Arabidopsis thaliana: one gene and its partners. The main gene of each other region encodes a partner of the protein of the gene in region 2 in a complex. Each region holds a gene or a part of one and is shown on either strand. Other genes may lie near its edges. The genes, in order: AT5G65220, RPL27 and PSRP5.

Evidence for each region.
Region 1: RPL27 (region 2) and AT5G65220 share a complex: the UniProt entries of both Arabidopsis thaliana proteins name them as parts of the 50S ribosomal subunit.
Region 3: RPL27 (region 2) and PSRP5 share a complex: the UniProt entries of both Arabidopsis thaliana proteins name them as parts of the 50S ribosomal subunit.

Annotation. Positions count from the first base shown.
Region 1 is NC_003076.8:26,057,838-26,065,026, reverse strand, and holds AT5G65220 (Ribosomal L29 family protein), read right to left. Parts: upstream 3,863-7,189; 5' UTR 3,727-3,862; coding exon 3,388-3,726; intron 2,704-3,387; coding exon 2,521-2,703; 3' UTR 2,345-2,520; downstream 1-2,344. Other genes in the region: AT5G65225 (uncharacterized protein), read right to left, coding at 125-227, 785-828, 2,093-2,097; TGA1 (bZIP transcription factor family protein), read right to left, coding at 4,278-4,430, 4,505-4,732, 4,821-5,092, 5,175-5,238, 5,327-5,404, 5,489-5,548, 5,633-5,713, 5,826-5,996.
Region 2 is NC_003076.8:16,407,813-16,414,974, forward strand, and holds RPL27 (ribosomal protein large subunit 27), read left to right. Parts: upstream 1-2,969; 5' UTR 2,970-3,053; coding exon 3,054-3,356; intron 3,357-3,655; coding exon 3,656-3,757; intron 3,758-3,841; coding exon 3,842-4,033; 3' UTR 4,034-4,302; downstream 4,303-7,162. Other genes in the region: FLA20 (putative fasciclin-like arabinogalactan protein 20), read right to left, coding at 1-118; AT5G40960 (transmembrane protein, putative (DUF 3339)), read right to left, coding at 4,933-5,139; AT5G40970 (hypothetical protein (DUF 3339)), read left to right, coding at 6,088-6,495; AT5G40980 (AT.I.24-6 protein, putative (DUF 3339)), read right to left, coding at 7,065-7,162.
Region 3 is NC_003074.8:21,066,437-21,073,486, forward strand, and holds PSRP5 (plastid-specific 50S ribosomal protein 5), read right to left. Parts: upstream 3,921-7,050; 5' UTR 3,822-3,920; coding exon 3,725-3,821; intron 3,472-3,724; coding exon 3,122-3,471; 3' UTR 2,975-3,121; downstream 1-2,974. Other genes in the region: AT3G56900 (Transducin/WD40 repeat-like superfamily protein), read left to right, coding at 34-89, 213-377, 575-689, 773-872, 974-1,153, 1,384-1,442, 1,609-1,696, 1,786-1,867 and 5 more; AT3G56920 (DHHC-type zinc finger family protein), read left to right, coding at 4,398-4,454, 4,783-4,962, 5,060-5,365, 5,456-5,677, 5,754-6,005.

The DNA of each region.
Region 1 (7,189 bases), 9.7 Mb from region 2:
GAAGGCACTTTTTAACTTAATAATCAAACAATCTGTATTGACTTCACTCCAATGGTAGGAACTAGGAAAGAATGATGCTACTGAAAAACATGTATTGAATTGTTGTACCTTTGCATTATCTAACCTGAGATTTCTTAAAACCAATCCATAAAGCCGAACAAGGACATCTCCATAGAAGATCCAAGAAGCTGAAAAGGCACAAGGAGGTAAGAACCAACCAAAATAATCTTCAGATTCAATCCAAATGAGAATGATGCAATCATGCAAGTAGTGCTTATATCAACACATTGGTCTGACTTTGATATAAGAAGTGAACACAAGCAAAAAAAGGCCTATTACCGTTCTTACTGAAGGCTTTCTAAAGGACTTGGACAATCCACCTTAAACATATTGGTCTAAGCCAAGCAAACTGCATTTTTATAATGATAGCACTAGTCAGTCGAAATGCTCATAGAGAATAACTATCTATATGTTTTATCAAGCTTAAGAGATTGTACATATGTATATGCATCACCATCTAGAAAAAGGGGACAGTTAGTGTAAGCTAGAAAACAAAGTTAAAAGAAAAGGACCATTTAAGGTGACAAGATACAAAAAGTCTAAAAGTTCTGCTTTCCTTAATCAAGAGGAGAATTTTAAAAGCTTGAAATCATGTTAGAATCACAATTGCTTCATGAAATGAATCAAAGCCTGAAACTAGTGGATAGTAAATGAACAAAAAAGATTGGGCAGAAGCATCAACAAACCTCTGGAAGTTAAGAGAGTCGGTCTTGTTCATCTTTACCTTCACAGGCATCAAGAAGAAGACAAAAAGAAAATCCAAAATACCTGCATAAATAACATTTGTTGCTTTTAAGGAAATAGTAGTTGAAGTAAAACAGGCTAAAGAGTATGGACTTTTCACGAAAGCAGAAGACCAAGACAAACATGGAGGAAGCTTTTTGCATGAAAAGCAAGTCACATGTTGTGATCCAGAAGTACCAAAGATCTTTGCATGAACACTATACGTAAGACACTTACATAATAAAATAATCGTGTCAAAAGCATCATAGAAAGCTGTGCAAAGCACATGACTGGAGTTGGTAAGACAGGTCTTCAGAAAAATAGTTACAAATAAAACATACAAAGCTATTCATATGCAAATCTCATAAATCACCTTTAGATATGCAATTTTTGTCTCAAGTCTCTTGTACTTAACATAACACCGCATAGCTCACAAATCTACGCTGAAAAGTTGACGACTTTTGGTCAGTTTAAAATGCAGGATAAGTGTAAACTGATGTATGTGAACAGCACAATGCAGCTGTCAAACTCAACTTCAGATAAACTTTGCACTAAAAAAAAAACACAGTTTTGACCATTAGTCATTTAAAATAGTTGTGGGCAGATAGATCTTTTGACTTAATTGTAATATAAGGTATTAGGTGAATCATCGTGGTCCGATCATTGCTATATCAACAGTTTTGTTATCCAACTACAATGGTAATGAGAAATCAACATGTGAAAATCTACTACTGCTAGTTAACAAGAGCATCGATCTCAAATCAAAAACATTAAATTAACAACCATCTCAGTATCTCACAGGTTTGTTGGCTTCCAGAAATGACTACATACCTGTCAAGAACTCATATATAGCAGCCTCGATAGCAAACTACTAGTAAACGAAACATGACTTCTTATTGAACTATGTTTATATCAGTCGTATTCAAACTTTTAAGAAAAGAAAAAACAAAGAGAAGAAACTACTAATTTGAGATTATTTTATCACTAGTCCCCACTTCTGAAAGAAGATTTCAACACCACTGAGTCAGAAAAATTATTGGCCAGATCTTCAATATACTAATAAGAAAAGGACAAAAATAGTAAAACAAAAACCAAACCCATTGTTGGTTGACTAACAAAAAAAACTAACAATGAAGTCTCAATGAGATTTACCAAGATGAGATTTTTCTACTACATTCGATTGCATAAACGGATTTTATTTTGAAAGTGAATCGCTGAAATCTAGGGTTTCATGCCCAAACAAGAAACATCATCGGAAACATAATCGTATTAGTTGAATCCTTAAAATCTGTAAGAAATATCACTTTACCTCATAGACTCGCCGGAAAAAAAATCCAAACCCAGCCGGAATCTACCACCGAATACCTCATCTACGCACACAAAGACAGAAACTTTAACGCACCATTCTATTTCTAAGCCCACCATTGATTCCTCAATAAATTCCTAATTTTCCCGCCAATGTTTTGGATTTTTCCTTTTATTTATTTATCTTTATTCTTATTTGATGTTTTTCGAACTTCGAATGATTACTAGTTTCTTTGTCAGATTGGATGATAATTCTGATGAAACATGAAGGAACGATTTCAATCTTTAAGGGATTCATGTAAACTACTTGATAAGGAAAGTGTTTACACCAAAAGAAAAACAAATACAAGATGGTTCAGCAACAAATAACAGAGATTAACAACATCTCGAGGAAACAACAAGGAAGAGACCATAAATCAATAGCGGGTTTTTTCAAGCAGATTTAGCAGCTTCAGCTGCTTCTTCTGCAGCTTCTTCTTCTTGAAGTTTCTTCAGAGACGGAGGTGGTCTTGGTACTATGCTTTTCTTCCATTGTCTGTCAAGTTTCCTCGACAACCTTTTCTTTATCCCTTCTTTGATCTCCCTCTCTCTTTTAACCGTCAACATCCGAGCAACCTAAATCACCCACAACCAAAAGATCACATCTTCAGTACCAGAAAAGAGACGGACGTAAGCCAAAAAAACCAAGAAATCTCTACTTGAATTTAGTGTCATCTCCAGCTAAGTTGGGTGGATTAGTCACTTAGAGCTCAAGATTCATGTCTGATTGAAATCCCAGCAATCAGTAAAACCAAAGCAAGTAAATTCTCATCTAAAGCTAGTTTGGTGCATTGGCACACTTAAAAGACTAAACAAACGATATCGCAAAGCTCAACATTCATGTCTAACTGAAACCGTAGTATCCTAAGAACATATTCGAAGCTTGTGTGCAAGAATCTATAAAAGGGGATGGATTGAACTCAATATTAAATCTCTAATTCCATTCCACCACCTACCAAAAACAGTATTAGATATCACAAAACAGTAACTTACAATGTTGCCATTGTTAGAGTTTAGAATCAACTATAATGTGTAGAACAAACAACACAAAACATTGCTTATAGAGTTCGCTAACATCTTCTACAACTTCATATTAAATAATCCTATTTTCCATGGTGATGATTTCAATGTTTCCATCAATAAACCACATATCCCAATTTTGTTAAACCCTTTCAAAGACTGCCAAAATCGACCAGATAACACAAAGTAGATTTCACAATTTGGAATAATTCTGCATTAAAGAGTAAGAAAAAAGCTTACTTGTTTCTTCATACGACGAAAGTCGCTAGATTTGAACTCATTCCTTGCCGATTTCTGGAGACGAAGCATAAAGAGCTCACCTTTAAGGTCAACAACCTCCTCTTGTAACTGCTCCGTCGTCTTCGATCTTATCTCTTTCAATTCCGCCTCTCTTTTCGACATCATCACCACCGACGGTTTAGGAGACGACGACGATATCGTCGCCGCCGCGGGGACGCGAGCAGAAACCTGGTGCTGGATTCTGACACCATGGAATGAAGACGAAGTTGAAGTCGCCGAAGCAGTTCCTCTACGAAAAATCGCCGCCGTCCCCGGCGTAGCGATTGAGAGACTAAGCATTGTAGCTATGGCGGAGGAAGAAGAAGAAGAGCAGAGTTCTCACTCTCGAGCGATTTTGAGGATAATGAAGAGAAGAAACTCTATGAGATAAGGCTTTTCTTATATCTTACTATTTGCCCCTTTATTTACCTCTAATTACGAAACTGGTCCAAACGTATCAAAAAAAATCAAATAGGTGTCACACAAAACGTAAAATTAAGTAAAGCCCCTATAGTTTTCAAATTGCAGATAGCTCGACATTATTACAGGGGATTTGGAACCAAGTTTATATAATTCTGAAATTGTTTACAAATCAAACAAACATTCGAAAAACTTGCCTCTTTCAAAAGCTAAAAAGTACAAATTTTTGCACCCCCACCTTTTTCTGATATTTACAACTTATCAATACATGATGTTTTTCAAATTTTCTAATTCCGCCGCAGAGTAAAAATAAATATCAGCAGCAACCCCTCTATTTATTCAGAGTAGTCCTCTGTTTTCAGATGCACTCATTCTTCATTTTTTGAGGTCTTTCCATTTTCTTCATTTGGTTGTTACAAAATAACTCAAACCTACGTTGGTTCACGATGTCGAGTTGCCCAACTTGAGCTCAAGGCTCTAAGCCGTTGAAAATACTCACCAAGAGCTAATAATCCTCGAGCCGCTTGTCGCGTTGTCAATATCCGATACATTTGTTGCAATGTTTCATGTCTCAAGTGATCAGCCTAAGAATGAACAAACAAAATCAAGAAACTGATACTATAGTATTTTCAAATGAGTTTGAATATATATATTTTACCTGATTTACGAAACTGACCAAAGCTTCTAATCTATCCATAGCAGAATTCACCTGAGGAATGTAACTTCCTTCACCGAGTTGTCCCGCTGCAACGCAGTCCGCAAGGGTGTGTTGCAGCTTCTCCATACCTTGAGTCAACGCGTCTTCTGCTTGCTGACACGATTGTTTTAGATTGCATACATCTAGAAGTTGTTGATCCGTCAAGACATCAAAATGTGGCAAAAGAACCTACAAAAAAAAACATTTGAAACATTGTAATCTTGCTTGTTTCCTTCTATTCATTAAACATTACGCTAGATTGTTATTTGTTTTATACCTTGAGAAGATCGGAGGGTCGAAATCCGCCAATCCATAAGAAGAATCGTTCTGCTGAAGTTCTCCACATCCCTGACATGACGAAGAAGACATCGGCTTTGGCAGCAGACGATTTCATCCGGAAAAGCTCAAAGTAATGTTTCATGGCGTTTTCGACTAGCGAACGAAGCTCGATATCGTTAATGTGTCCGTGTAAAACTGTTCTTAGTTCACATATCTGTCTGTTCTGTTCTTCAACCCAATGTCCATATTCCATTTCAAATGCAGCAATCCCTGCAAATCAAATAAGCTTCCACCAATCAAAATCTTGAATTCTATATTTTTTCCAAAAGACTCATTGTTCTTGATTCAAAACCTGGATTCATGGTTTCCGAAAAACCGAGAGAATTAGTATCTATTCCGTTTCCTACATAGAATCCCTGAAAACATTCATATTCAATCAGAAATTGCATTATATTTTGGAACTCGAAAGAAAGCGAATATATATTTAGATTTCATTTCATTAACCTGTTGTCTAGCACGATCGAGTTCTTGCTCTAATTGAATTAGCTTCAACCTGCTTGTTTCCAGTTGCTGAACATAAGCCTGCAAAAAAAAAAAACAATCAAATCTCTCAACTCATTAGGCAAACAGAAACAGTTTACCAAGGGGAAGAAAATGAAGTCATACCTTCTTGCGCAAGCGACTTTTCCTAGCAGCCTCGCGGTTTTGAGCAAGCCGTCTTTGTATCTGTAACGATATAACGATTTAGTCTATATGATGCGTAGAAATTTATGATTAAGAAACTGATAGAGAAGTATTTGAATAGCTAACCTTATCGGGATGTCTAGACGTTGAAGCTTCTTGATCGAACATGTGAGGAGTTCCTGCTGTTCCATGGGAAGTATCCTCTGACTATAAAAAAAAAAAAAAGATTGTCAAGAAATGAAAGCTAGTTTAAATTTCTGAAAACAGACCAAACAAATTTATCATCAGGAGGTTGAAGAGCAATGAAGTAAAAAAGTACCACGTTGTTGTCTAGTTTCTGATTATTCGGTATTATTATGTGGTTTGGTGTGTTCATAGTCCCATTGCTAATATTGCTTTTGAAACTCTCCCCCCACATACCGAATTGATGGACAGGTTCGTATATACCAACTCTTCTCGGTGGCACAAAATGTGTCGATGTCGAATTCATGTTTTCCTCAACTGAAAACAAAGAACAAATTGTTTAAACAATGTGACAAAGCATTCAAAATCAAGCAGATCAAGACATTCCAAAGAACAAAAGATGAGCATTAGTTTTCAACCAAAAGTTAGATCACACAAAGTCAAACAAGCATAACACGTAAAGCAAATAGTGAACTTTTGATGTTTCTTCGCCAAATTCTTCGAAGAAAACAGGACAAAATCATCTTTAAATTCCAGAGACTTTATACAAAGAAAGAAACCAGAGGGGACACGGAGATTCCCTAAGACCTTGGAGAGCACCAAAAGATCACAACTGAAACATATATTGTAATGACAGGCTAAAAGAACTTAAGGCTAAAAGAACTTAAAGGATTTAACTTCAAATCACCCATTTCATCAACACAAACTCCTCACCATCCGCCTTCAAATCTAAAACCTTAAACCTACACCGGAAAAAAGAGAAGAAGCCATTTCCCCAATAGTGTTTGGAAGGTGTCAAATAGATAAGATGATAAAAATTAATGTTAAGCAGACGAAAAGCTCCATAAGTCAAGTTTCCACTTATTAGGATGTCACTTTATTTTCAGCACCTAATTGTGTGGACCAACTTAACATAGTTTAGCAGTTAAAACGACTATACAAAAAATAAGAAATTCCCATTCATTGCTTTGTTAAATTTTTGTACGCAAATGGTAACGAAAGGTGAAATCAAGATAGTAAGAGATATCAACAATAAAAGCAAAAGCCAATCATGAAGTCAATAGATAGGTAGATTGAAACATCTTCTTATGCAAGAAATATTCGAATCAGTTCCTTCCAGCTTAAATTCCAAGCAAACCAGAAAATCATATTGAAGTAATCAATCGAGTAAATACAACAAAAAAAAGGGGAAACAAAATTAACCAAAACAATCAATAAGAGAAAAGTTTTAGGCTTTTAAGATATTAACAAGATTAGATTAGAACAGAGCAAAGTCAATCAAACCTTGTGATGTTATCTGAAGCCGAACCTTGTGATGCTATCTGAAGTCAAGGCAGCAACTAGAAAAAGGCAAACTTTTGTCGTCGTGAAAACCATGTAAAAGGAGAAAGAAAGATTTCAGCGACAAGATCGGACGTAAAGGGTTAAAGCCAAGAAGTCCGGAGTTGGAATCCGACCATAAACAGAAGGGATGTTAAAAGCTCTTCCTTCTGTCTCAGA
Region 2 (7,162 bases):
CGTTCTTCGAGCTTTTTTTTTCGTTTGGTTTCAGAGAAAAGCCGTTGCAGAGGAAGTTACAGTTTTTATAGTCCGTCCTATTAAGAGAGGGAAAATATTTACTGGGCTTTTTATTCATAGGCCCATGTGTTTTTTTGTCAACAGGCCCATATGTTTTTTTCTTTTTTAGTTTTCAGTTTTTCACATTTTCCCTCCCGCTTCTTTTTCTTATTTCCCTCTCTAAAAACAAGAAAACATTTTTACATTTTCCCTCCTAAATCTCCAAATTTTCAGAATAAATATCTCAATTACAAATCCATGATAATCCACACAACAATAAACACTCATCGATTAAATCTTCTTCACCGGAAAAAATGCCTTCGATGCCAGAGGAACCAATCCTAACACCAACACCAGATCGATTCTGTATGTTCCCAATCCAATACCCACAGATTTGGGAGATGTACAAGAAAGCCGAAGCATCCTTCTGGACAGCCGAAGAAGTCGATCTCTCTCAAGACAATCGCGACTGGGAAAACTCACTAACCAACGACGAACGTCACTTCATTAAACACGTCCTCGCCTTCTTCGCCGCATCAGACGGAATCGTTCTCGAGAATCTCTCAACTAGATTCATGTCCGATGTTCAGATCTCAGAAGCTCGTGCCTTCTACGGATTCCAAATCGCGATTGAGAATATTCACTCCGAGATGTATAGTCTCCTTCTCGACACGTATATCAAAGACAACAAAGAGAGAGATCATCTTTTTCGTGCAATCGAAACCATTCCTTGTGACGAAAAAAGCAGAATGGGCTATGAAATGGATCAACGGATCTCAAAGCTTCGCTGAGAGAATCGTAGCGTTTGCTTGCGTTGAAGGTATATTCTTCTCCGGTAGCTTTTGTTCGATATTCTGGTTGAAGAAACGAGGTTTAATGCCTGGACTCACTTTTTCAAACGAATTGATTTCGAGAGACGAAGGTCTTCACTGTGATTTCGCTTGTTTGATATATAGTCTTCTTAGAACTAAGTTTGATGAAGATCGTTTGAAAGCGATTGTTTGTGATGCTGTTGAGATTGAGAGAGAGTTTGTTTGTGACGCGCTTTCTTGTGCCTTGGTTGGGATGAATCGTGAGTTGATGAGTCAGTACATTGAGTTCGTTGCTGATAGGTTGTTGGCTGCGCTTGGGTGTGGTAAGGTGTATGGTGTGACTAATCCTTTTGATTGGATGGAATTGATTTCGCTTCAGGGTAAGACCAACTTTTTTGAGAAGAGAGTTGGTGAGTATCAGAAAGCTTCTGTTATGTCTAGTGTTCATGGAAACGCTGCGTTTAATGATGATCATGTCTTCAAGCTTGACGAGGATTTTTAGATTTTGCTTACTTGCTTTATTTTTAGTTTTGTAATTTTCAGTATAATGAAAAACAGATGAAGTTTAATTTGATAATGGACATTTAATTTCTTAATTATTTAACATAGTTTTTACATGGTTAACATATAACTAATCCGGATCCTAGTAATTACATGGGTCTACCCAAATCCAAAAAGGATTGGAGCCAATGACTTTGCTATATATTTCGTTCTTAAGAACATTGCTAGGTTTCTAGCTATATTGGTTTTGCCTCTTTATTGGCAGAGGGAGCACAAAGAGAATCCTCCCCTTTCGACATAAAAATGTTATTTTCTCATGGTCTTTTGGATGATTAGCAAGACTTACTCTTAAGTTTTTGCATAAGTATCTTACATCACTTTCTAACTCAACCTTCGAAATATGCATTTGTTTCAAACAATCCAGTGTTCATTTCCAAGTAGGTGTAGTGACTTATGATAAGAAAGCATGTCGATTATGGTAAAAATATTTTAGTGGCTGTTCACAATAATTCTATGAGAGAGAATCATTAGTAGGCAAATTGAATAGGAAACAGACATGATATCAAATTCTTTTGAAGGCAGAAAGAAATGAAAATATAGAAAACATAACTAAAAGAGAATAAACAACCAATTACCATTTACCGTTCCAAAGACCTTCATCGTCGAATTTCAAGAACAATGAAGGTCTTTGAAAGATACTTTTGTCAATAAATATGAAAACCATAAACAATTAGTAGAGATGAGAGATCACTATAACTCTCCTATGACTTTCCATCCAATCAAAAAGAAAAGTTTGTGTCCATGTCTCTATAACTCTATCCAACTTCTTTAAGATAAGATCATTTTCTCGCTTATTACACCAAGTATACAGCGGACCATGGGATGATAGGTCTCAAACAAAGCAATAGTTTACCACTGATTGAAAGTCTCTCATTCCATTGGTATAATAGGGTTGTCTTCAGCTCTAGAATGCTCCACAAGTTCTAAAATCTCATTAAAATCTCCAAACATTATTTAAGGCTTGCTACTAATGACAGGAGAGTCATAGTGATCTCTCATCTTGTTCATAATACTTTTTTCTCCTCTAACCAACTAGACAGTCTATGAAACTCAAATAATATAATTTTTAATTTTCGGTCAAAACTGTAAAAACATGTCAAAATCAAATAATATTTTTTTTTTGCCAAATCAGAAAATTACATTTTTCCGCCAATGTAAAAATAATTTTTAGAGTGACATTGTCAGTATAAATCCTAATTTATGTTTTAATATTATAGCTAAAGTCTATAATTATTTTTGGCTGCTTCTTGCATATTATTATTCTAAGTTTGGTTTTTGTTTTTATCTGAGAAATTTCTACTATATAATGAATATTTGAAACTGTAGTCTATATATTTAGATTTAATATTTTATACAACAAGTTGATATGGCCGAGTTGGTCTAAGGCGCCAGATTAAGGTTCTGGTCCGAAAGGGCGTGGGTTCAAATCCCACTGTCAACATTCACTTTTTTCTCTTTTTCCATTATTTACTTGCTGACGTGTACTCACCTTATCTTACATTATTTGATGACGTGTAATTTTAGTGGTCACTAATCGAGAGAGTGAGACGAAACGATAAGGAGAAGAACTTCTTCTTCAACCTCAGAAAACCCTAATTTCTCCATTTCGAAACTCCAACGAATTCTCTGGTGATTTTACCAATGGCGATGGCAACATCGATGAGTTTGAATCTAATTGGGGCATTCAAAGGCTTGTCTCTTTCTTCGACTTCGTCTTTTCTTAGAGGCGATTTGAGTTTTTCCCCCAAAACCTCTTTCACGGTGACTCTTCCTCTGGAAAATCTTCAAGCTCCGATTCCGTTGACAATTGAATCGGCCCATAAGAAAGGAGCTGGTAGCACCAAGAACGGTCGTGATTCTCCTGGGCAACGACTCGGCGTCAAGATCTACGGTGACCAAGTTGCTAAACCTGGTGCTATCATTGTTCGTCAACGTGGCACTAAGGTAACACTTAAGAACACAGAATTGTTGAAATTGAGAACCTCTTAAGCTCCTCTTTCAATTCTCTTCTAATTTCACCGCAACTCTGTCAATTTGGTCAGTTTCTTATGGGTTTAGCTCTCAAGCTCTGTTTTCAGATTCCATTCTCGAACACATCTGGGTTTAGGATGAATTTTCGTATTTAGTAGCTCTTGTTTCTGATGCCATTGCCATTTCTCTGGAAGTTCTACGTTATGTTTGTGTTTAGGATGGAACTATATTGTTTGAGAAGATTGATTCATGAATGGTGATGTTTGGTGCAGTTCCATGCTGGGAAAAATGTTGGGATTGGTAAAGATCATACCATCTTCTCTTTAATCGATGGATTAGTCAAGTTCGAGAAGTTTGGTCCTGACAGGAAGAAGGTATACCTGTAGTTATACTGAGTAAGGTTTATAAGCTTTCTTAATCTTCTAGGATGTTAAAGGAAATGAGACTTGTTTTTGCAGATAAGTGTGTATCCAAGAGAAATTGTACCAGAGAATCCCAATAGCTACAGAGCAAGAAAGAGAGAAAACTTCAGATTGCAAAGGGAGAAGAAGAAGGCGAGACGCGAGAATTACTCGTACACACTTCCTACACCAGAACTTGTTCTTGCATCTGCCTCAGTCGATGATGCTGAAGCCAATCCGGAGTGCTAGAAGATTGAATGTGGAGTTTCCTTGTCTCTTTTTGTTTAGTCTTGTTTATGAAAAATGATCCTTTCAGAGTATTAAGAGTTGGTTGTATTGTCGAATCCAAGCCTCTCTTTTGTCAAATTGAGTCCCAAGCAGGCGGATTTTTACCCAACTTGAGTTATTAGTGTAATCAAATGGTTATTGTTAATTAGTCAAAGCCTCAAAGGTTTTAATTTAGTGAATTTCTCTTCCAACTTAGTAATTCTGAATCATTGATAAGAGAGACCACCAAACCTTTGAATGCCCCAATTAGATTTAGTCAAGTATAAATCTAGTTCAAGTGTCTATTTGAGGTTTTTTTATTATAAAAATTATAAAACTTATTTGGATCCCAAAAATGGATCCATTGTTAGTCTAAGAAGCCGAAGACTTTATGGGCCTTCTAGCGAAATAATGGGTTTTAGCCCAATTACTTAGCATTTCGGAATATGTAGATAGTGGTACAAAAAAGAAATTGAATAATATTCATTTTCGTCTATCATTGCATAATTAGTGGAATGAAATTATTATTCTATGTTTTTTTTTTTTCATTTATCTATATCTTGCTCATCTTGAATCCATCAATTTCGCTAACGTTTTACCTGTACCATATTAGATCCTTTGTGTTATCTTTAGGCCATATTTCACCAGCTTGAGGTCAAATACTTATACACATGTATGTAACGATATATATATGTAAGATGACGATATATTATTGAATAACACTAAAGGCCTAGAGCAAAAATAGTAATTGATGAGAAGTTTTAAATTCTAGGAGCAGTAATTAAGAAGAAGAACAAAGACAAATCCTAAAACAAAGCATATCAGTAGTAAAACCTTGTAGCACAAAGCAGAGAGGCACATACATGAGTGTAATAAATGAGCTATGCATAGACATGGACGTTGAGAACAACGAGAAAGAGGATAAGAAAGAGACCATAGAGAACAGTGTGAACGAAAATAGAAGCTACCGTCGTCTTCATGTTCATGAAACCCACCGGAGATTCTTTCCCCGGAAACTGCAGTATCAACCCTGGCGACAGAAACGCGAACAAAGCCGAAGCTATCAACGGTGCAGCCCAATCATGCATCTCTTCTTACAAGAACAAGAACAAAAGAAAAAGAAAAAGAGAAATGGAGAAAGAAAGAAGAGAGTGGGAAATAGGTTTGGATGGGTGAAAAAGGAGATGATGGAATTGTGAGAATGAGAATCTGATAAAGTCTAGTTCTTTACAATTAAAGGAAGAGAGAGATTTTTTGGAATTTTGCTTTAGGTGAGGTGTCTTAATTTAATCGTAATTGGCTATCGAAGGAGAGTTTGAATTTGAAACGATTCTAGCTTAAGCATATCAAATGCTCGATTGTATTAGAATAAACATGGTTTGAGCTGTATATCTATTCTATGCGGTTTGAGCGGTTTGAGCGGTTTAACCAATTTACGTGGTGCAGTTTTGCCTTTGGAAGAATAACTTTCAATAATATAATTGTACTCTGTTTTACAATTAAGCAATGTAAAAACAGAAGAAAAATAAACAATGTATGTAATTTGTAGAGAAACGGTTCTATGTCACATTCAAAATCCTATGTGATTCACATGAATAGCGACATATCTTTCGGTGATCAATAAATGTACACGCCACTTTTCGAAATACGTTTGGAGGAATTTTGTTATTTTATTACTTGGAATGTATTCTTGATTAGTAGAATTTGTTTGACTTGAGAAGACTAAATTAGATTACAAGTAACGGGTCCACCACTTGCTAAGCGACCAATATATTCCGTAAGAAGAGAACAATATTTCTCCACTTTTTTTTCCTACTAAAAACAAAAATTCAACTTTTTTATATAGTTATTGTACACTTTTCATATCTCCAAAATTTAGTATTTATAATTTTTTTTGGTGACTATAAAATCAAGACGATATAAATCTTAGTAATTTGTTTGACAAATATATTTTTTCCATCCCGAAATGCTAATCTTTTTACTTTCTAGTGGGCAATATATACGAGATTATCTCAAAATTGTAACAAAAAATAATAATGTTGGAATTAACTCAAAATAAATATGAAGAAAATAAAATAAGAATTGGGCTTAGCTCAGCTTTTCTTCTTTGTTTCAACTTTCAAGTCTCTGTTTTTGACTCTTTTACTCTCTCTCACGAGTCACGCCACCGCTTTATCGAAAAAAGGCGTCTGCTTTTACGTTTTCTACTTCACAGCAATGGCGGATTGGGCTCCAGTTCTCGTCGGAGTTGTATTATTCGTTATCCTTTCTCCGGGACTTCTTTTCTCGTTGCCCGGACATCACCATACTCTCCAATTCGGCGGCATGAAAACCAACGGCAAAGCCATCGCCGTTCACACACTCATCTTCTTCGCTGCTTACACCATCTTGATCCTCGCTGTCAATCTCCACATCACTACCGGCTAATTTATGGGCCGAAATAAAGGTAACCCTTTTGCTGAATCTGAGCTCTCTCCCTCTCAGGAATCTTCTGAGATCTGGAACTCTGTTTTTAGGGATTTGTATACTTTACTCTGTTCTCTAGTTTGTGTTGTGCATTGAGTTAATACTGAAAAATGTAATAATCATTAAGCTTGTATTGATGTCATTAAGTTATAATGCAAAATTTGATGTTTGATTCCATCTTTGCTATTGAATTGTGAAATACAAAATCACATATTTTTAGTTGTCTATACAATATTTACCTTGAAACCATATCAGCAAAGAAGCAGAGATTAGTGAAAAATGTGGGAACAAACCAAATTTGTAACTAAATGAAGATGCTTTATGTTACGTTATTACATGCTGAAGCTACGAGAGATCAGAGGATATTGTTATCTCATTTGAATTGTGGAAAACAAAATTACCGATTATTTATTTGTGTACAACCTTTTTAAATCACCCTGCTTGAGACCCTATGAGCCAAGAATCAGAGATTAGGAATAAAAAGAAAAGAAAAAATAGATGAAGGCGAAGTTGAGTCCAAAGAAGCTGTCTTTGTTACACTACATGATCAGAAATGGATGTGAATTTGTATGGCAATGATCAAGATAGTGAGTATACAGAAGTAAATAATGGCGTGGACCAAAATCGAAATCCCGCTTGTGCTCA
Region 3 (7,050 bases), on a different chromosome or scaffold from region 2:
TTCTGAGCTAATGGTTAGATTTTCGTAGCGCAGTTACGGCTCAGAACTTATCTGATGAGCGAGCTCAGGAGACTTATGGAAAAGTTCTTGTACGTGGGCGTTTCTCTTTCGTTTCTGATTTCTTATAAGCTTAAAAACCATATTTGTAAGTAGCAAATGTTTTCTTTTTGACAAATTTCCATCGGATTTGGGGGTTTTGCGTTTGATCACAGGGAATGGTGTTTAGCCCTGTTTCGTTCGACTCTACTCCTAGCTCTCTTCAGGAAAATGAAGGACAAGAGAATGGAGATAAGGCAAGTGGTGAGAGTAAAGGACTGGTTGCAACACTGCAGATGAAGGTTGCAGACTCTCTTAAACAGATTTTACAACCCACCGATGTAAGAGTTTCAACTATCAGTCTGTTTCTTTGTTTGGTTGACTAAAGAAAGCTTAGCATTTTGTGATTGATGGTTACAATACTTATCTTTATGTATCTAGGGGAATTGATAGGAGGGATGTTCTTTGCAATTTCAAAATGGCATTATCATAGCTGTTATTAATAAAGCCACAGCCTTGCTCACCTTTTCTTTTCTAGGTAACTCTACTCTCAGAGATTGATCTTCAAGGAGTGAGTTGGCATCAAGGGAAGCATATTATTGCCTTTATATCCGGTGCAAATCAAGTTACAATTCGTGATTATGAGGACAAAGGTTTGTTTTATTTATTCAATTCAGGATTCCTAGTTCACATTTGCCGGTGTGTGCATACAGTTTCATATTCTTCTTTTGAACAGATGAGAAAGAACCTTGCATTTTGACAAGTGATTCACAAAGAAATGTTAAAGCCCTTGAGTGGAGACCAAATGGTGGAAAATCCCTATCCATTGCCTGTCGGTGTGTATTATTGGTCTTCTGATCCTGTCTACTTTCTAGAGTAGCCAGTTTCATAGATAACTAAGTTTGATTCTACTGTAATAACTGTTCCATTGAAACAGGGGAGGAATATGCATATGGGCTGCTTCATATCCGGGTAACATGGCATTGGTTAGATCTGGTGGTTCCGCATTGAGGGGAAGTCTCTCTCGAGGATCTGGAACTCGTTGGATTTTGGTGGACTTTCTTCGGTGTCAAAATGATGAGCAAATTAGTGCTCTCTCATGGAGCCCCTGTGGAAGATATCCTAAACAAAATTTCTGCTATAACTGTTTTGCTTAACTTCATTTTGGAGTTGTTACTTAACTACATACGTTTCCATGATCATTTCAATTACCATAGTTGTTTATCAAGCCGCATCGCATGATAGGCATTTGTTGGGAAAGTATTTGGATTTGTTCGATCTTTTCTGTCTTTGCATCACATGGATCCCTAACTTTGTCCATCCTGTTACTCCTTGACCTATTTTCACGTATTTAGCATCAGCCTCATATGACAGTTCATCTTTCACCATATGGGATGTTTCTCAAGGTAACTAGAACGACAATTAAGAACACTTTCTTAATGCACAACATCATGCAAATGTTTGAACATTAATCCAGCTTCCTCTTATTTAACATCCTATCTGTTGCGTTGAGATGAGAAAATGCATCTTGCAATTCCTTGTTTCTGAAAGTGATATGTATACATCTTCCAGGGGCAGGGACACCTATTAGACGGGGACTAGGTGGAATATCAATGCTTAAATGGTCACCTACAGGAGACTACTTCTTTGCAGCAAGATTGTAGGACATCAACTCTCTTTCTTTTTTACAGATGTGGAAAGTAGCTTCCTGTTTGATATGATTGCTAATAAAATGTTTTTCTGTCACAGTGATGGGACTTTTTGTCTTTGGGAAACAAACACATGGACATCTGAACCCTGGTCTTTGTCTAGTGGATCTGGATCTGTCACGGTAAGATCGTGAGCCTATAATAGTGAGATATGCAATAGAGTATTGTTAAAAGCGTTTTGTTGGAGAGGTTAACGTCACTAGTGTGGTATGCATAGCTTATGTACATGACTCCATTGTACTAAAGCATTCATTTCCTTCTTTTATGTATGAAATTGCAACTGTGTTCCATCTTCGTAAATGGACCAAGCAATAATACTATACTCCCTTCTATGATAGGGAGCGATATGGGATCCCGAAGGACGGTTTATCTTGATTTCGTTTTCGAAATCTTCAACACTGGGCTCTGTTCATTTCTCATCCAAGCCACCATCCTTGGGTATGCAGAAACTTTGAAGTCGTTTTGCCTATACTACTAGAAATACTTACCAGTTAGCACACTAAATCTCTGTTTTGGTTTACTTTCAGATGCCCATCTATTACCAGTTGAATTGCCAGAGATTGCTTCTCTAACTGGCTGGTAAATTATTTGATTGTTTTGTTCAATAAACCCTTGCAAAGGCCTTCCGTTAATCACTTCTTGATATTGTCTTTCATAACTGAAATAACCAGTGAGGGCATCGAGAAGATAGCATGGGATGCATCTGGAGAACGATTGGCTGTGTCGTACAAAGGAGGCGATGAAAATTACAAAGGATTGATTGCCATCTACGACACACGAAGGACACCTATTGTATCAGCATCACTAGTGTAAGTAACTCTTACTGTTATCCATTCCATCGGACTTGACCTCCTTTTGTATATCTTTGCATTGTCTAAATGGATAGACAAAATCTGATGCTTTTATGATTACAGCGGTTTCATCAGAGGACCTGGAGAAAACCCGAAAGCTCTCTCCTTTTCATTCCATGACAAGTTCAAGCAAGGTCCACTCCTTTCTGTGGTAAGGCATATGCTTGATTAAGTCTCTTTTCATGCCAAAGTATTCATACAGGTAGAATCGGTTAGTTAATTAATCTTCCAAATAAACCTTGTTGCAGTGTTGGAGCACCGGATTCTGTTGCACCTATCCTCTCATCTTCCGCTCACATGTTCTTCCTTAATAGCCAAATGGTTCAAATTTAATGCAAGTTTCAAACTTTTTGGTTCTATTTTGTAGACTGCTCACTCTTTGTATACAAATGGTTTCTTTAAAGAACTCAGCTTTGAAGTTAAATCCAAAAACAATGGTTGCATTTGAAGTACATTAATGGTCTTTGAACACCAAAAAGAACATTACAAAAAACGAATACGAAAAGCAGCAAACAGTTGAGTCACTTAGACATTCTTGTTTTTCTTCATCTTGGAAGGTGGCCATCGACCCTTCTTCCTCATCTTACGCTTACGAACCAGACGTTTCCTGCGTAGCCTAATCTTTTTGGCCAGCTTCATCTTCAGCCTCAATTCCAAGAGCAGTTTCTCTTTAGCTTCTTTCGATTCCAACGGTAGTTTATCCACTGGAACAGCAGCAACAACAGTCTTTGGTTCCTCCTTGCTCTCAGGCTCAGCCCCGTCCACGCCAGAAGCAGCCGCCTTCACCACAATTCTTCCATGGCTAGAGTTCAAGCTGTAAGCACTGAGAGAGACTCTGTTCTTGGACTCGACAGCGTTGGGTTTAAGGCTCAAAACTGAAACACAAAAGATTAGAGCATTACAAGTAAACCAAGTGTTCGATTAAATGCTTCGATCTTTAAGCTTAAAACCTGACTGCCCTAAAACAAAACTTCACTTTTTTGGGACAATCAAGAAATTGAACTAGCCCAGGAGCTTCAATTTGGTTCCATGGGTCTCTATTGTTTTTTTTTTTTTCCCGATACAATTCCACGACAAAACGAAGCAAAAGCGAAATGTCAAGACTAGAAACGAGTGACAAGACATTACCTGGAGAAGCGAAAGACGGAGATTGAAGAAGGCGCGAGGAAGAAGAAGAAGAAAGAGAAGAGAGAGAAGGGAGAGAATTGAAGCAGAGAAGAGCCATCTTCTTCTTCTAATGGAAGAATTTGTCTTCAGACTTTCATTTGATAGTGGATAAGCTTTTTCTCCTTCTCTCTGTCTGTGTCTTCTTAACGAACGGATTGGATTGATCCGGCTCAATCCGGTTTAATTAAATACAGAAATTATCAAACGAACCGGCTTCTTTTTCCTGATTCGGGTTGAATAGATAAACCGGAGTGGGTACTTTTTATAGAACTGTGAGTTGACACGTGGCTGTCCCAGTGTGTGATTGGCGGGAGAAAGGCTAAGTTAAGGTTGTTCCAGAGAATGATGTTGGTTGGTGTTTTGAGCAACTTCCAATGGCGGAGGACAAATCTATGGAGAAAGGGAGAGAGAGAGAAAGAAACAAATCTATCAAACAGAAACCATAATCAGAAGACGAAAGGAGAACAAAATCCGCACAATCGGCGGCACGATTTGGATATCGCCGGTTTCATTCGCTTGGCTGTGAATTGAGGAAACTTGGATATGGAGCTGTAGGACGTGTCTAGCCGCGGATTCTGAGACTGGAAACAAAGCGAATAACATTTCTGAGTTTCATTCCCCGAAGAAAAACGTTATGTCTTCTCAGAATCTTGAACGACAAAGGATCTATCAAGTTTGGCCCGCCAAAAATGTAAGACTTCTGATGATTTGACAGCAAATTTACATTTTTAAAACCGCATTGTGGATTTTTATAGGATTTTAACTTTGGAAGATAAGAATCATGAATGAGGAAAATACCTCAAGATGCTCGGAATTGATTTTGTTACTAATATATGCTCTGCTTCTCTCTGTGCTAAAGTTTGAAGAACATGAGCTTTTAAGATTCTCTCAATGGAAATAGTCTAAGATTTTTATGTGTATTGTTTCACACATGATTTTAGCAAAAGCAAGATCCTAGCTTCTGTCTATATGAAATCATCATCTGAAGTGGAGTTTCTCAATTTGTTTTCGTGTTTCAGAAATTTTACTGTGGGGGAAGACTAGTGTTTGGTCCAGATGCATCGTCACTTCTTTTGACCACATGTATGATAGGAGGGCCAGCTATCGCTTTCTCCATCAGGATGGCTTATTTGATAAGCCATCGTCACCCTTTCTTTCATTCTCTTACTTTGATTGGTGCAATTCTTCTCACATTCATGGTATAACTATAAAGCTTTGCTATTTACTTACTTTCATAAGCCAAGTCATACCTTAAGCCAAATTCATGCATCTTCTTACGTCTTACTTTTTATCTAGGCTTTCACTTTTCTCTTCTTGACATCATCGAGAGACCCCGGGATTATCCCAAGGAACAAACAAGTGTCTGAGGCAGAGATTCCTGATGTTACCACCCAATCGACAGAATGGGTGACTAGCAAATTAGGAAGTGTGAAACTACCTCGAACAAAAGATGTAATGGTGAATGGCTTCACTGTCAAAGTGAAGTTTTGCGATACCTGTCAGCTATATCGTCCTCCTCGTGCCTTTCACTGCTCAATCTGCAATAACTGTGTCCAAAGGTTTGATCATCACTGTCCTTGGGTTGGTCAGTGCATCGCCTTGGTAAGTCTTACTATTAATTCTCACTTCCTAGACAAAGAACTGAGTAAGATCTATGAGTTGATATGTTATCTACGGGCTTTTGTTTTGCAGCGTAACTATCCATTCTTCGTCTGTTTCTTATCATGTTCAACACTCCTCTGCATCTACGTTTTCGTCTTCTCATGGGTCAGCATGCTTAAAGTCCATGGGGAATTCTATGTTGTTCTCGCTGATGACTTAATATTAGGTGTTCTTGGTCTCTACTGCTTTGTTTCCGTTTGGTTTGTTGGTGGACTTACTGTCTTCCACTTCTACCTTATCTGCACCAACCAGGCAAGATTCTTTAGCTTTTAACGTAGTTTCCAAGTAGCTTTTACTGTTGGTCTGATTCTCTTGTTATGTTTTGCAGACGACTTGTGAGAATTTTCGGTACCATTACGACAAGAAGGAAAACCCTTACCGAAAGGGGATCTTAGAGAACTTCAAGGAGCTATTCTTTGCAAAAATTCCACCACCTTTGATCAATTTCAGAGATTGGTCGCCAGAAGAAGAAGACGATGTGGAGGTTGGATCCATAGCCTCTGAGCTAGTCAGAGCCTTTGGTCCAAAAGACACGAAAATGAGCAGTGGAAAGTCTGATTCCGAAGCTAGAGAACGGTAACAACGGTGGCACGGCTGTCAAGAGATAAGTATGGATGAAGACGCCACAACGACTGCTTTGGTCTACCAAGAACCAGCGGAAAACAAGGAGAAGCTCGAGCGTGGAAGTGAGATCAAGATAGGCCAAAGTAAAGGACAAACAGGTGTAAAATCTACTTTTGTAATTCAAAGCCATGTAGCTCTCTTTCTCTCTTTACTCGTCAAGATGAGTTTTAAACTTTTTCCCATTAAGAATAGGAATTAGGAGAATTGGTGTACATAAATAATCGTTTCTTGCGTTACAGGTAATTCAATTTGGTGTTTATTATTGTCTCCATCTTTCTTTTTAGGGTTCATATAATGTATAGTGTTTCTTAGGTCTTACGGTAAGGGGTTTATAAGAAAAGAAGAAAAATTTGCCAATAGAGAAAACAAAGAGACAGAGGGATGTGAAGAGATGATGATGATTCGTTGATATGTTTAATATTCTATTTCTATATATAAAAAAGCTCAAAATACTTTACCAATTGAGCAAAAGCTATATACATATATAACAATAATATCTCATCTTATTTTTGTGAGATCTTTAATCAAATTGACTTCTTCTTCTTCTTTTTTTTTGCTGAAAGCATTCATAGAACAAACTAATTACAAAAATAATCGAAGAAGTGAAGCATTTATAAAAGGAAAAGAAGAAAGAAGATGAAGAAAAACACAAATGATGGAAAAAATCTAGGTGTGAAGCACGTTTGATTGAGAGATGATTTGACTTGGCTTCACCAGCTCATTGTTGCATCATTCTATTTATCTAATAATATTTATAGATATAGTTGGCCGACCAATGAAATAACAATATTTTTAAGTAATAAAAATCTAAGTTAAACAAGAAATTATTCCTTCTTAGTTCGAACAGACATCCTCCTATTAGCGTAATCACTTGTCCTAATTACATACATTGTCCCCATTATCTCATTTACTCCTGTCTGAATATTCGGTAATGAGATTGGAATAAAAAATATATTTATTACCAAAAGAAAAAGGAAAGAGAAAAGAGAAAAGGGGCAAAA